3 linked regions of the Struthio camelus genome follow. The protein of the gene in region 2 interacts with the protein of the main gene of each other region in a pairwise test. Links are inferred from orthologs where the notes say so. Each region holds a gene or a part of one and is shown on either strand. Other genes may lie near its edges.

Evidence for each region.
Region 1: the proteins of GET3 (region 2) and GPX7 interact in binary tests that used the Homo sapiens proteins (3 or more experiments, as listed by UniProt). The two-hybrid records come from large-scale screens. The link is inferred for Struthio camelus from reciprocal best matches to the Homo sapiens genes GET3 and GPX7.
Region 3: the proteins of GET3 (region 2) and ASPH interact in binary tests that used the Homo sapiens proteins (3 or more experiments, as listed by UniProt). The two-hybrid records come from large-scale screens. The link is inferred for Struthio camelus from reciprocal best matches to the Homo sapiens genes GET3 and ASPH.

What each region holds. Positions count from the first base shown.
Region 1 is NC_090949.1:31,612,441-31,616,187, reverse strand, and holds the start of GPX7 (glutathione peroxidase 7), read right to left. Parts: upstream 2,802-3,747; 5' UTR 2,026-2,801; coding exon 1,819-2,025; intron 1-1,818. UniProt on the Homo sapiens protein: It protects esophageal epithelia from hydrogen peroxide-induced oxidative stress. It suppresses acidic bile acid-induced reactive oxygen species (ROS) and protects against oxidative DNA damage and double-strand breaks.
Region 2 is NC_090972.1:4,315,208-4,318,954, forward strand, and holds the start of GET3 (ATPase GET3), read right to left. Parts: upstream 2,531-3,747; 5' UTR 2,264-2,530; coding exon 2,103-2,263; intron 1,251-2,102; coding exon 1,103-1,250; intron 998-1,102; coding exon 849-997; intron 735-848; coding exon 584-734; intron 183-583; coding exon 75-182; intron 1-74. Other genes in the region: TRIR (telomerase RNA component interacting RNase), read left to right, coding at 2,973-3,224.
Region 3 is NC_090943.1:134,405,095-134,408,841, reverse strand, and holds the start of ASPH (aspartyl/asparaginyl beta-hydroxylase), read right to left. Parts: upstream 2,612-3,747; 5' UTR 2,462-2,611; coding exon 2,401-2,461; intron 1-2,400.

The sequences.
Region 1 (3,747 bases), on a different chromosome or scaffold from region 2:
TCATCACTTTTTGGAATAAGTAATTCCCACAAAGTACTTGTGGTCTTGGAAAAGCAAAAAAAGTTGTGGAATGAATGCTCTTGCAGTGGGATAGGCAGATGCAGAAAAAATTAGATGCTTATTTTCTCCTTATGGTCTAGCAAAGATCAAGGAGTAATATTCACTGATGGCAATACCTTTCCTCTAGTGCTAGAGTCCTCTGCTATGAAACCAGGCACCCCTGGAGCATGGCACTAGGCGAGATTCAGACACGCACCCCTGACCTGGAGGAGTCATGAGATACTGGGGCAGGCCCTAAGGCTTCTTCTGGAGGGGACAAACACCCCCTGTCTCTGCCAGGAGGGCTATAAGGAATTCCACAAGGGAAACCTCAGAGTTCCCCCTTTAGTCCTTGCCATGCTGATTCTCACCCTGCGTTAGAGAAGATACAGGTGGTATTTGCTTATTTAGAAAGATTTGCAGGCGACCTGCACCCAAAACATGCCCCAGTGACAGGATTTATTGACAGAGCCTTTGGAAGGAACTCTTAAAAAAGGTAAATATTGCTTAATATTAAACAGGTTCCATAGTTTCTCAAAAACAGATATCTGTGTGTGCATTGGATCTGTTCCCCACCTGCTCTGTTCTCTGACTGCATTGTGAACAAAAGCAGAGGAGGACTTTGACCAGATAAGATCGAGGCCTCTCATTTGGTCCAAATGCACCAGTAGCCCTCCCTTCTGAGCTCAGAAATACATCCCCTACTGTAGGCCTTCTGTTTCTTCCCGCAAATATTTTGGTCACCCACCACTTTGGATTAGTGACAAAGAAAGTGGAAACGCGGAGCTGAGACTAAGGGTGAAAGAGAAGAGTGGAGCCTTCCTTTTTGGGAAGCTGTTGGACTGGCCTGGCTGTAGCACATAAGATGTGTCACTTGAGCACTAAGGATGGAGGTGGTGGCTTTTATGCTTTGATTTTAGCTTCTGCAATTTGTGAATATGGCTACAAGAGCTACAGATACTATGCCACCCTTTCTGTGCTAACCTCTCTTCATTCTTCCATAAACCAAATTAAAAAAAAATCAAGTTACATTCAAGACAATTTTTCTCAAACTGTGAAGGAAAGTTGTGTCTACAACTCCTTAATTTAATATGTAAATGACATTTAAAAGGTAAAAAAGCATATGCAGTGTCTATCTGACCTTCATACTGTTCTCTGTCATGCTAAAATTGACTACAAGGGGAATAGCATGGTGTTTCCACAATTTCACTGTACACTGATATTAAAATAGTACATAGCAAGTCTCTCACTTTTTTACTAATTATGGTGAAAACTCTTAACTCCATTAATCACTGGCTAAATTCCATCTCTTTTGATGCAAAACTTCAAAGGGAAATGGGATTTAGGTAAAAAGAATTTACTAAATGTTTACTAAAAGCGGAAATAAGTTCCAAAAATAATTTGTACAAAGGTACAAACTTCCTGTGCTTCATGTTTTAGCAGCCACAGTCAAGTGCAATTCATCCTGCTGAATGGAAGGCAGGCATTCCCTGCTTGCCACGTATACAGGGAGCAGCCCGCACGAGGAAGAGATGCCGCCACACAGAGAGGTTAGGCTGCAAACGTTTTATTTACAGAGTGCAAAGACCTAGGGAATGGTATTAAAGGAAGCATGCAGGCAACACTCCAGATCAGTTAAAGAAGTCATAAAAACAAATCCATCTGCATGCGCGCATCATGTTAATGTACAATCTCTCCACCCCCATTGCTTTCTGCAGACATGCAAGGACTGGCTGATTAGTGATAGTGTGAGAGCTGCCCATCTCCATGCAGACTTACCGAGCCCCTGTATTTCTCCAGAGAGACTAGCTTGCCCCTGATGTTTACAACTTTGAAAGTGTAAAAATCAGTCTCTTTCTGCTGAGTAGCGGAAAATGCTAAGAGCAGGAGCGCTGCTATTGCAAGGAGCATGGCTAGAGGGATGAGGAAAACTTTGGGGAAGGAAGAGGAAGCCTTGTGCTCCACACTGCCCTCAGGATCTAGCATGCTGCAAGACAGCGCTGCACAGACACTTGCCACAATAGTAAAGTGCTGCCGGAAAGAAAGGAGTGCTGCAAACGGACCCTTTTGCAACAGTCTCTCTTCTGCAGAGATTTAATAGGATCTGTGTTCATGCAAGACCTCAGGAGGATGTCTTCATGAAGGATTCAGATTCTCTCCAATGGAGTATTTCATTGTGGCAGTGGTGTATTAGATAAGGCCATTTATGGGTGCAACATACAAACTGAAGGGCTAGTTCTTTCAGCTCAAGAATAGCAGTACTGTATGCGTCTTTGGGGGATGCTGACTTAGGGAGCTGCTTTGACTATGTCCTAGGAAAATATGGCATAGAGTTATCACAATGTTGGCAGACTTGCAAGTAGGTATTTTTAATATACTAATTATAGCAGCTAATAACTATGATGTAACGTCAAAGGATACCAGTGGCTGGGTGGCTAGTGGTTACTGATTCAAGTGCTCTGCACAAGAGTCAGAGCATACGGTTATCAAAAACTGAGCGTTACAAACAGTGTCACGTGAAATGGAGCGCGCTTAGGCCTTCTGGAACGTCCCCTGTCTGAACGCTCGGCTCGAGAAAAGTGGCCGGCCAGGCCACGCGGGTCTTGACAGGGTGATCTGGGAGAAAGCACATCACCAAGGAGTTCCTAAGTGAGAAAGAGGCATCAAGCATTAGAAACTGAATTTGGTACCAAAGCTTGCAGAAATACAGAGCCAAGGCAGCTACTTGGGGGATCAGTGTAGTGATGCAATTCGTGGGTTGTCTGGGGAAAAAAAAAAAAAAAGCCATTTGTGCCATTTGCTACTATGTCTGCTGGAAGAAAGAGGATTTGTATATATGAAGTAACAAGAAACGTTTGATGGTCATTGATTTCTTCTTGGACTGAAAAACCAGTCTTCTGTGCCTGTGATTCTGCTACTTCTTGGCAAAGAAAAAACAAAAGGTAATGATTTACAGAAAATATTGAAGTAGCACACATGAGGCATACTGGAAATTTATCTTTTGAATAGCCAATTACATTTTGTAATCTCACTGTGTGTGTGTGGTTTTTTTTTTAAACCTAGAGTTTTGGCAGATCTTTGAGGTTTTTATCAAGTTTGGTGAAGTAATTTAAGCATAAGTGGCATTACTGTAAGTGAAGGAAACATGAATAACTAGTTGAAAGACTTAATAATAGTTTTTAAACATTACAGATTTTGCAGGTTTTATGTATTTCAGGTTAAGTAGATATCCAACACCAAGAAATCATGCAATATTCTACACGGGTGAAAAATCTACCATGCTATCTGCGTGGAAGACATACTGTGCTAAAAATCTGAAGTTCTGATCTCATCCTCACAGATAAGTACTATTTTTCTGTATGCTTTTCAGGCTTCGGTATTGACCAAGAAACTTTCCTTTGGAAGACAGTGAAGTATGAATTCCCCATTTTATAAATAAATTATTTAAGAAGCTCCAGAGTCTCTTCAGACATAGCTCGACACAGAGAATATAGCTTTAAAATAGTATGTACATTTTAATAAATAAATTAAAAAATTAAAAATAGTAAATCCTAAGAATAAATAAAATATTTCATTCCAGCTTGCTGAAAATAATTAAACTGAAACCTTCTGAAACCTTTTTTTTTATTTGGCTAGCAAATTTTTAAAAATATACAGTACACTTCTACTGATTTTCTACAATCTTTTAGGCATAATAATACAGTAGTT
Region 2 (3,747 bases):
CCCCGTGGGCTGGCCGTGCTGTGTCCCCCGCCCCAGCGGAGGCGTCCCCCGTGCCCGCGCCGGCGGGCCCTTACCGGGTCCTTGAACTGCTCGCTGACGGAGCGGATGACGGGCAGCGTCTCCTCCAGCTTGGAGGCCAGCTGGTCGGCGTTCATGTCGCCCAGCCCCAGCATGTTGCACATCTGCGGGAGAGGCCACCCCGAGGTCCCCGCGGTGCCACCCGCGAGGTCCCCCCTGCGCGCGGCAGGTCTAAGCCCGCTCGTGCCGCCTGCAAGCGCCCTCACGCCGCCCACGAGGTCCCTCGGGTGCCGCGTGTGCGAATCCCCTCCCGCCACGCGGGGGGGGGGGGGTCTCCCCGAGGCCACCCCCAAGGGTCCTCGCGGTGCCACCCGCAAGGCCCCCCTGGTGCCACCACCGAGGCCCCTCGGGTGCCGCGCGTGAGAGCCCCCTCGTGCCACGCGTGGGGTCTCCCTGGTGCCACACACCGACGTCCCCCGCGTGCCACCCGAGGGCCCTCCCCGGCGCCACCCGTGCGAGCCCCGCTCCCCGGCGCCGCCCCGCAGCCGCCCCTCCTCATCCTCACTTGGGAGATGAAGGGGCTGATCTGGTTCTTGATCTGCATGAGGCGGCCCAGGCCCCGCTCCACGATGGTGGGGAAGTTGAGGAGCCGCAGCGTGTGGCCGGTGGGCGCCGTGTCGAACACCACCACCGAGAAGTTCATGCCCTTCACCAACCTGCGAGGACGCCGGGCCTCAGCGGGGACGGCGGGTCCCCGGCGCCCCGTTCCCCATGGCAGGGGGCCGTCCCCGGGCCCTATCGGCCCTGCACCGCCCCGGCCCCCCGCTCACCTCATCACCTCGGCGTAGCTCATGGCCTCGTCGATGCCGGGGAAGGCGCTCATGGCCTCCTGCATCATCTTCTTGCCCATGCTCAGCATGTTGTCCTCCTCAAAGAACTCGTCGGGCAGCTCGGCCACCCCCAGGCTGGGGTCGATCTCCTGCCGGGGGCCGGGGTGGGGGAGAAAGGTTGGGTGAGGGGCTGGAGGGTGGTGGGGGGGGCACGGGGGGGAAGGCTGGACGCCGGGGCCCGCCGGGGGACTCACCATGGCGAAGAGGTTGTCGTAGCCCTTGACTTTGGTGGGGACCTTGGAGAACTTCTGGTCGAAGGCGTCGGAGATGTTGTGCGCGGGGTCGGTGGAGATGATGAGGACGCTTTCGCGCACCTTGGAGAGCTGCACGGCCAGGCTGCAGCTGGGGGGGGGGGCAGGTGGGGAGGAGGGGGGCCGCGGTGTCACCGGGGTGGGCTGTTGCCACCGGGACCCCCTCCAGGCACCCGGTCCTGCCCCATAGGGTGGCCCTATGATGCCACTGTCCCCCCTCAGCAATAGGGGGGCTCCTTCTCCCCCCCAAGGGTGACCAGCCTGCCCCCCACACCCCAAAGTGGTCCAGCCCAGCCCCCCCCTTCACTCCCAATGGTGCAGCCTGGTCTGGTGTTGTCCCCCCCCAAGTGGTGGTCCAGTCCATTCCCCCCCAAAGTGGTCTGGTCCACGTCCCCCCACTCTGAGGTGGTCTGATCCAGTCCCCCCCCCCGAGGTGGTCCAGTCTGGATCCCCCCTAACCCCCTCCAAAGTGGTCTAGTCCAAATCCCCCCCCCAGAAGTGGCCTGATCCAGTCCCCCCCCCCCGAGGTGGTCCAGTCCGGGTCCCCCTACCCCCCCCGAAGTGGTCTTGGCCAGGTCCCCCTCTTCCAATCCCCAGTGGTGCGGCCTGGTCCAGTCCCCCCCACTCGAGCTGGTCCGGTCCGGTTCCCCCCCACCACCCCGAGCTGGTCCGGTCCGGTCCCCCCTCCCAAATGGTCCGGTCCGGGTCCCCCCTCCCAAATGGTCCGGTCCGGTTCCCCCCCCATCCCGAGCTGGTCTGGTCCGGTCCCCCCTCCCAAATGGTCCGGTCCGGTCCCCCCTCCCAAATGGTCCGGTCCGGTTCCCCCCCACCACCCCGAGCTGGTCCGGTCCGGTTCCCCCCTCCCAAATGGTCCGGTCCGGTTCCCCCCCCCACCACCCGAGTTGGTCCAGCCCGGCCCGGTGTTCCCCCCCCCCGGCCCCACCTGCAGGTGGTCTTGCCCACGCCGCCCTTCCCCCCCACGAAGATCCACTTGAGGCTCCGCTGCTCGATGATGTTGGCCAACGTCGGCTCCAGCGGCTCCACGTCGGGGGCGTCCTCGAACTCGTCCGCTTCGGGCCCCCACCCGGACCCCGCCGCCGCCATCTTCGAACCGCACCGCCTGCCCCGGCGCCGGGCCGCACCATTCGCCTCCGCCGCAGGGGGGGGGGAGAAAGGAAAAGAAGGGAGTTATGGCACCGGCCGCCGCCGCGGGGCCGCCGGCAGGAGGGAGCCGCTCCGGCGGGAAGCCACGATCACGGCCGCCGCCGCCCGGCCGCACCGGAGAGGCCTTTCCCCGTTATGGCGGCCCCGCTCTTCACTCCTCCCCCGCGGCCCGCACGGCGGTGGTACAGCCCGGCCCCGCCCCCCTCCGCTGCTGATTGGCCAGCTCGCACGCCCGCCGGGCGGGATTGGCTGGAGCAAGTCCTACCTCTTCCCCGGGGCGGCTCCTCGAGCCCGCCCACCCCCTCTTGCTCCGCCTCCGCCGGCAGCCGATTGGCCGCAGCTGCCGCGCCTCCTCGCTGATTGGCCCCGAGCCTGACAGTCCGGCGCGAGCAGCCGCGGGGAGGGGGGGGGGCTCTCACGGCCCGCCCGTTGCCTGGCAACAGCGCCCTCGCGCCTGCCCCGTCAGCTCGGCGCGGCTCCCGTCGTGCCTAGCGGCGGGCGTTTCCCGCCGTCCTCCGCGTCACCCTCCCCCCGCGGCCCCTATAGGAGGGCGGCGGCGGAGCTTCCCGTCGTGCCCCGCGCGCGCGTCATCGCCGGGCGCGGGGCGTTTCCCGTGGTGCCCCGCGGCGCGGCGTTCGCGGCGGACAAGATGGCCGACCACGGCGAGGACGGGGAGGCCCCGTCGCCGCCGCCCGGCCCCGGCGGCGGCGTGAACGTCTTCGCCAACGACGGGAGCTTCCTGGAGCTCTTCAAGCGCAAGATGGAGGAGGAGCAGCAGCGCGAACGCGAGGCGGCGGCGGCGGCGGCCGCCGAGGCCCCCGGAGGTGCCGGTACCGGGCCCGGTCCGCACCGCTCGGCCGACGGCCAGAAGAGGAGCGGCGGCGGCGGCGCGCTCAGCTTCGTAAGGACCCCCGGGGGGGGCCGCCGCCGCCCCGCGCCCCGCTCCCCCCGCTGCGGGGGCCGCTCCCCGCTCTGCCCGGGCCCCTCGCACCCGCCGTCCCACCGGGCCCGGTTCCTCCCCGGTTCTCCGGGGTGGTTTCAGCCTGCAGAAGGGCAGCTCCCCACGCTCTTCCCCCACCCCCCCTTTCCTCACCGGCCCCGGTGATGCCGTTGCTTCTCCCCCCTGCTCACGCCCGGGGTCGCTCTGGGTGGGGGGCGCTTTTTCCCCTTAACGGCAGCCACCCTCTGGGCTCAGGTAGGCGGAAGAGCTTCACCGGACGATTCCGCTCCCCCGACGTGAGTATCGGCCCCGGTTTCACCGGCAGAGCGTGCCGGGAGCCGGGCTCAGGTCCGCTGAGGCCGTTGCTCGCCGGCCCTTTGGGGAGCCGCGTTGTTGTGTGCGGTCCCGGGGCGCCCCGGAGCCTGCGGCCAGCGGTCGGGGTGCCAGGAGACCCCCGTGAGCCGAACCGAGCGGGTTCGCGTCT
Region 3 (3,747 bases), on a different chromosome or scaffold from region 2:
AGAAATTCTAAGATTTACATCAGCATTTTCTAATGTGGATACCTAAAAGCAGATTACTAAATTCAGATTCAGGCACCTCCTTAGGTGCTGAGATTTTTAGATGCACTGTCATCTTCACTGGTTTCACAGTCATGAGCAATGCCTTGGCAAGAAACCAAGTCCTCTCCAATGAACTGCTGTAAAAGTGATTACTACAGTACTATCAGGAACTGCCTCAGACTTGAGGTTTGCATGCTTCACAGTCTTAATTACTGGACATTTCAAAATTATTTCCTCATTTCATGTTCACAGCTCTCAAATGTGGAATACTTATTGGCTGCTGTGAAGACCGTCTGCTCCTCTAGCTGTTCTTCATTCACACAGGAATCATCATCCATTACCTCTTTCTGCAGCTGCATGGTATTCTTAAGCAACTATGAAAACAGCATCATCTTCATGCCATAATTTCTACAGCTGTCCAAGGGATTTTAACTAGGAGTAGCTGAAACTAACAAAATATTGGTCTTAATTTACTAGGTTACATTCTGGGATTGTGACCAACACTTAGACTCACACTGCTTTACACCTTTATATATAGCAATAATGCGTCCTCTGTGCAACTACACAAATTAGGTACTTTATTACAAACAGAAAAAATTTTGCTCATGCTGAATATAAAAATCTATATAATACTTTTATACTCAGTCAGAGACTTAGATTGCTGATAAATTTATTTTTCAAATGCTGACTAACCTTTAAAGTGATAATGTCTGAATCATTTGCAGTATTCAAAATTGTACAAGGGATGCATGTTCTTAATACATTCTTATTGGAAATCTGTATTTGCCATGCTGCTTAATAGTAGGTGACGATCATTTGACTCATGAATATCAAATAGTACCGCTAGTCCAGGAAAAAGTACAATATAGACTCTACAGCATATGCCAAAAAGGAGGACCTTATTAAAAATAAAATTAAAAAAAATTCTCTGAACCACTGTAACATCATCTCTGAACTCTTTCACGCTTAACTGACATTTGAAATCTTTTTCTCTCAATTCACCATGTGATTGGTGAATTGGTCCTATATGTTCATCCTTTCATTAGCACTGTCATCCATACTATTGCTGAAAGGGTAACAACAGATACTACTTCAGTGTCATTACAATTTGTCATCACTAGGGCTCTGTGCAAGTCAAGCTCAAAACCAAATAAGTTATAATTAGCAAGCATTCTAATCTTTGTTAAAATTTCCTTTAATTACTGTAGTATGCATGATTACACAGTGACTTCCATAAGTATATACTTTTCTCTCATTAAAGTATATTCTATTCTTAAAAAAAAACCTAGTGCATACAAAGTATTCCATACCTAAATTGTCAATACATACTACCTTATTAATAGTCAGATTTGCCAAGCTGTTATTTATTCTAGGGGGTGGGAAAGGGGACTAATAATCAAAAAACCCCTTCTCTCTGCATTTTTTCAAGATTACTCCTACCTGCTTCTGCACTTAAGTGAACCTTCGAGTTAGATACTACATCTATGATAGATCCAACAAACTTAGATCAGAAGATGTCCCAGCATCTGAGTTTAAACACATGAATAACAACTGCTTCACTAGCATTGGAGATACTGGGCATCCAGGTTCTGCTCCAGGCCTCCGGAAGAAAAGATCAACGTGCACTTCCCTGCAAACCTGAGAAACCCACAGATGTCAAAGACCCTCTCGGGGCTGAGGACCCTGCCCATCACTCAGCCCAGCCGTTCGGGGCGGGGAAGCTTTCGAGTGGTGCGCCTCCACCTCCTCAGCCAGACCAAGCAAGTTTCTCCTCCGCTTAAATTCCTGAGAAGGGGGACGACCGAAACCCGAGCAGCAGATCTAAACCATCTGTTCCCGCTTCGCGCTGCCTCCAGGAGCTGACACGCAGCGCATAGGGAAGGCCGAACGCGCGCGGGGCCGGCGAAGCCCCCCGGCCCGGCCCGGCCCCCCACCCCTCCTCCTCCTCCTCCTCCTGCCGGGCGGCCGCCCCTCGGAGGCCCGGCCGAGCAGCCACGGCCCGCAGCATCCCGCGGGCAGGGCCGGCGAGCGCGGGCGTTGGACAGGGGCTGGGGAGGCTCCACCGCTTGGCGGGGGCAAAGCGAAGGCGGAGAGCAGGGCGCAGCGCGGCCGTGCTCCTCCTCGCCTCCCCCAGCGGGCTCGCCCCCGCCCCGGCGGGCAGGGGCGGCATCGGCCCCCTCCCCCCCCCCACGGCGGCGGCCCTACGGCGGCGGCTCCTCGGCCCGCCGCCGCCCTTCCCCGCAGCGCTGCCCTACTTCGCGGCGGTTACACCCTCTCCCCACTTCCCTCCGTGCCGGCTCGGCCCGGGAAGCTCCCCTCCGAGGCGACGGCCCCGTTTCCCGTCCGCTCCGCGCAGCTCACCTCTCTTGGAGCCGGGGCTGGGGTTGCCGCCGGCACCTTTGGAGCCCTTGCGCGAGGCCATGGCACCTCCTGTCAGGTAGCGAGAGGCAGCGGTTGTGCGCGCGCGCGCGCGGCGGGCGTGGGGGTGGGGCGAGCGGGGCGACGGCGAGGATGAGTCAGTAACCGCCGCCGCCGCTACCTGGGCGCTGCGTGCGGTAGAGTCCTGCGGCCGCAACCAGCGCCCGCCGCTCCCCGTCCTCCCGCCCCCCCCGCCGACGCCACCCAATCGCTGAGCGCTCCTGGGGAAGGAGGCGGGGCACTGCTCACCTCCCATTGGCGGCGGGGGCGGGTGGGGGGCGGTGCTCGGCGGCGGGGGCGCGTGTCCGCCACGCTCCCCTCGCCGGCGGCTTTGAACGTGGCAACATGGAAGCGAGCGGGGGCGTCTCGCGAGCGTTCGGCCGCGGGGCCGCGCCGGCGCGCGCTCCGCCGGGGGGAGGGGACGAGCTGCGGTGCCCGGCTGCCCTTGTCGGCCGGGGTGGGGGTGTTCCCCCCTCTCGCTCTGCGGGGGGGCTCAAACCGGCGGGCGGGCGGCGCAGGCAGAGCGCGGCGGCGACGGCTCGTGGCCGTTAGTCCTCGTGCGTGTGGGCGCGCGGGCGGCGGTTACAGGCGCGGCGCCGCGGCCTCGGCCTCGGCGCGGCCTGCGGCTCTGCGGGGGAAGTGGAGGAGCGCGGGTGCCGCGGGGGAGGCTTTCTCGCCGCTCGAGTACGTGGTATGTGGGAGCCTGCGAGGCGGTGGCCGCGGGGCTCCCCCTGCGCGGGGCGGCTTTGCGGCGCCGGGAATGGCGGCTTGCGAAAAAAACAAAGCGGGCTAAATGGGGGTCTAATGCTTAAGCACTTGAGACGCTGCTTAAAACGTCTTGTTCTGTTTCTCTGGCTGCCTTCCGCTTTGTTCAGGTGTTCGTAGCTCACCCGTGCGCAGTTTATGGGAAGCAGCTCGTTCACTCTTTCAGATAGCACTTTTTCAACCCATGGGGTGAAACAGTTTAAAGGATGTTGCATTAACAGATAAATTCTCAGAAAAAGCTTGTCAAGTCTGAAAAATATTTCAAGCAGCCTGTGACAAAATCAGTGGATTTTTTCTTAGTTTGTTTTTAACAGAAATTCTGAATGCTTCTTGTTCCTCAGTGACCTGGGATGAAACTTAATTAGAAAGTAGTGTGGCATAACAGCAAATTCCTTCTTGAACGACAGCAACAACTGAAAAGCTCCCTTTTGAGTCCTGGCCATAACTATAGTTTTTCAGATAAAAATAAGCAATGTTGAAAATTAGAGCTTTTGAAAATAACTGTTGCAGGAGAATGCTTTCCTC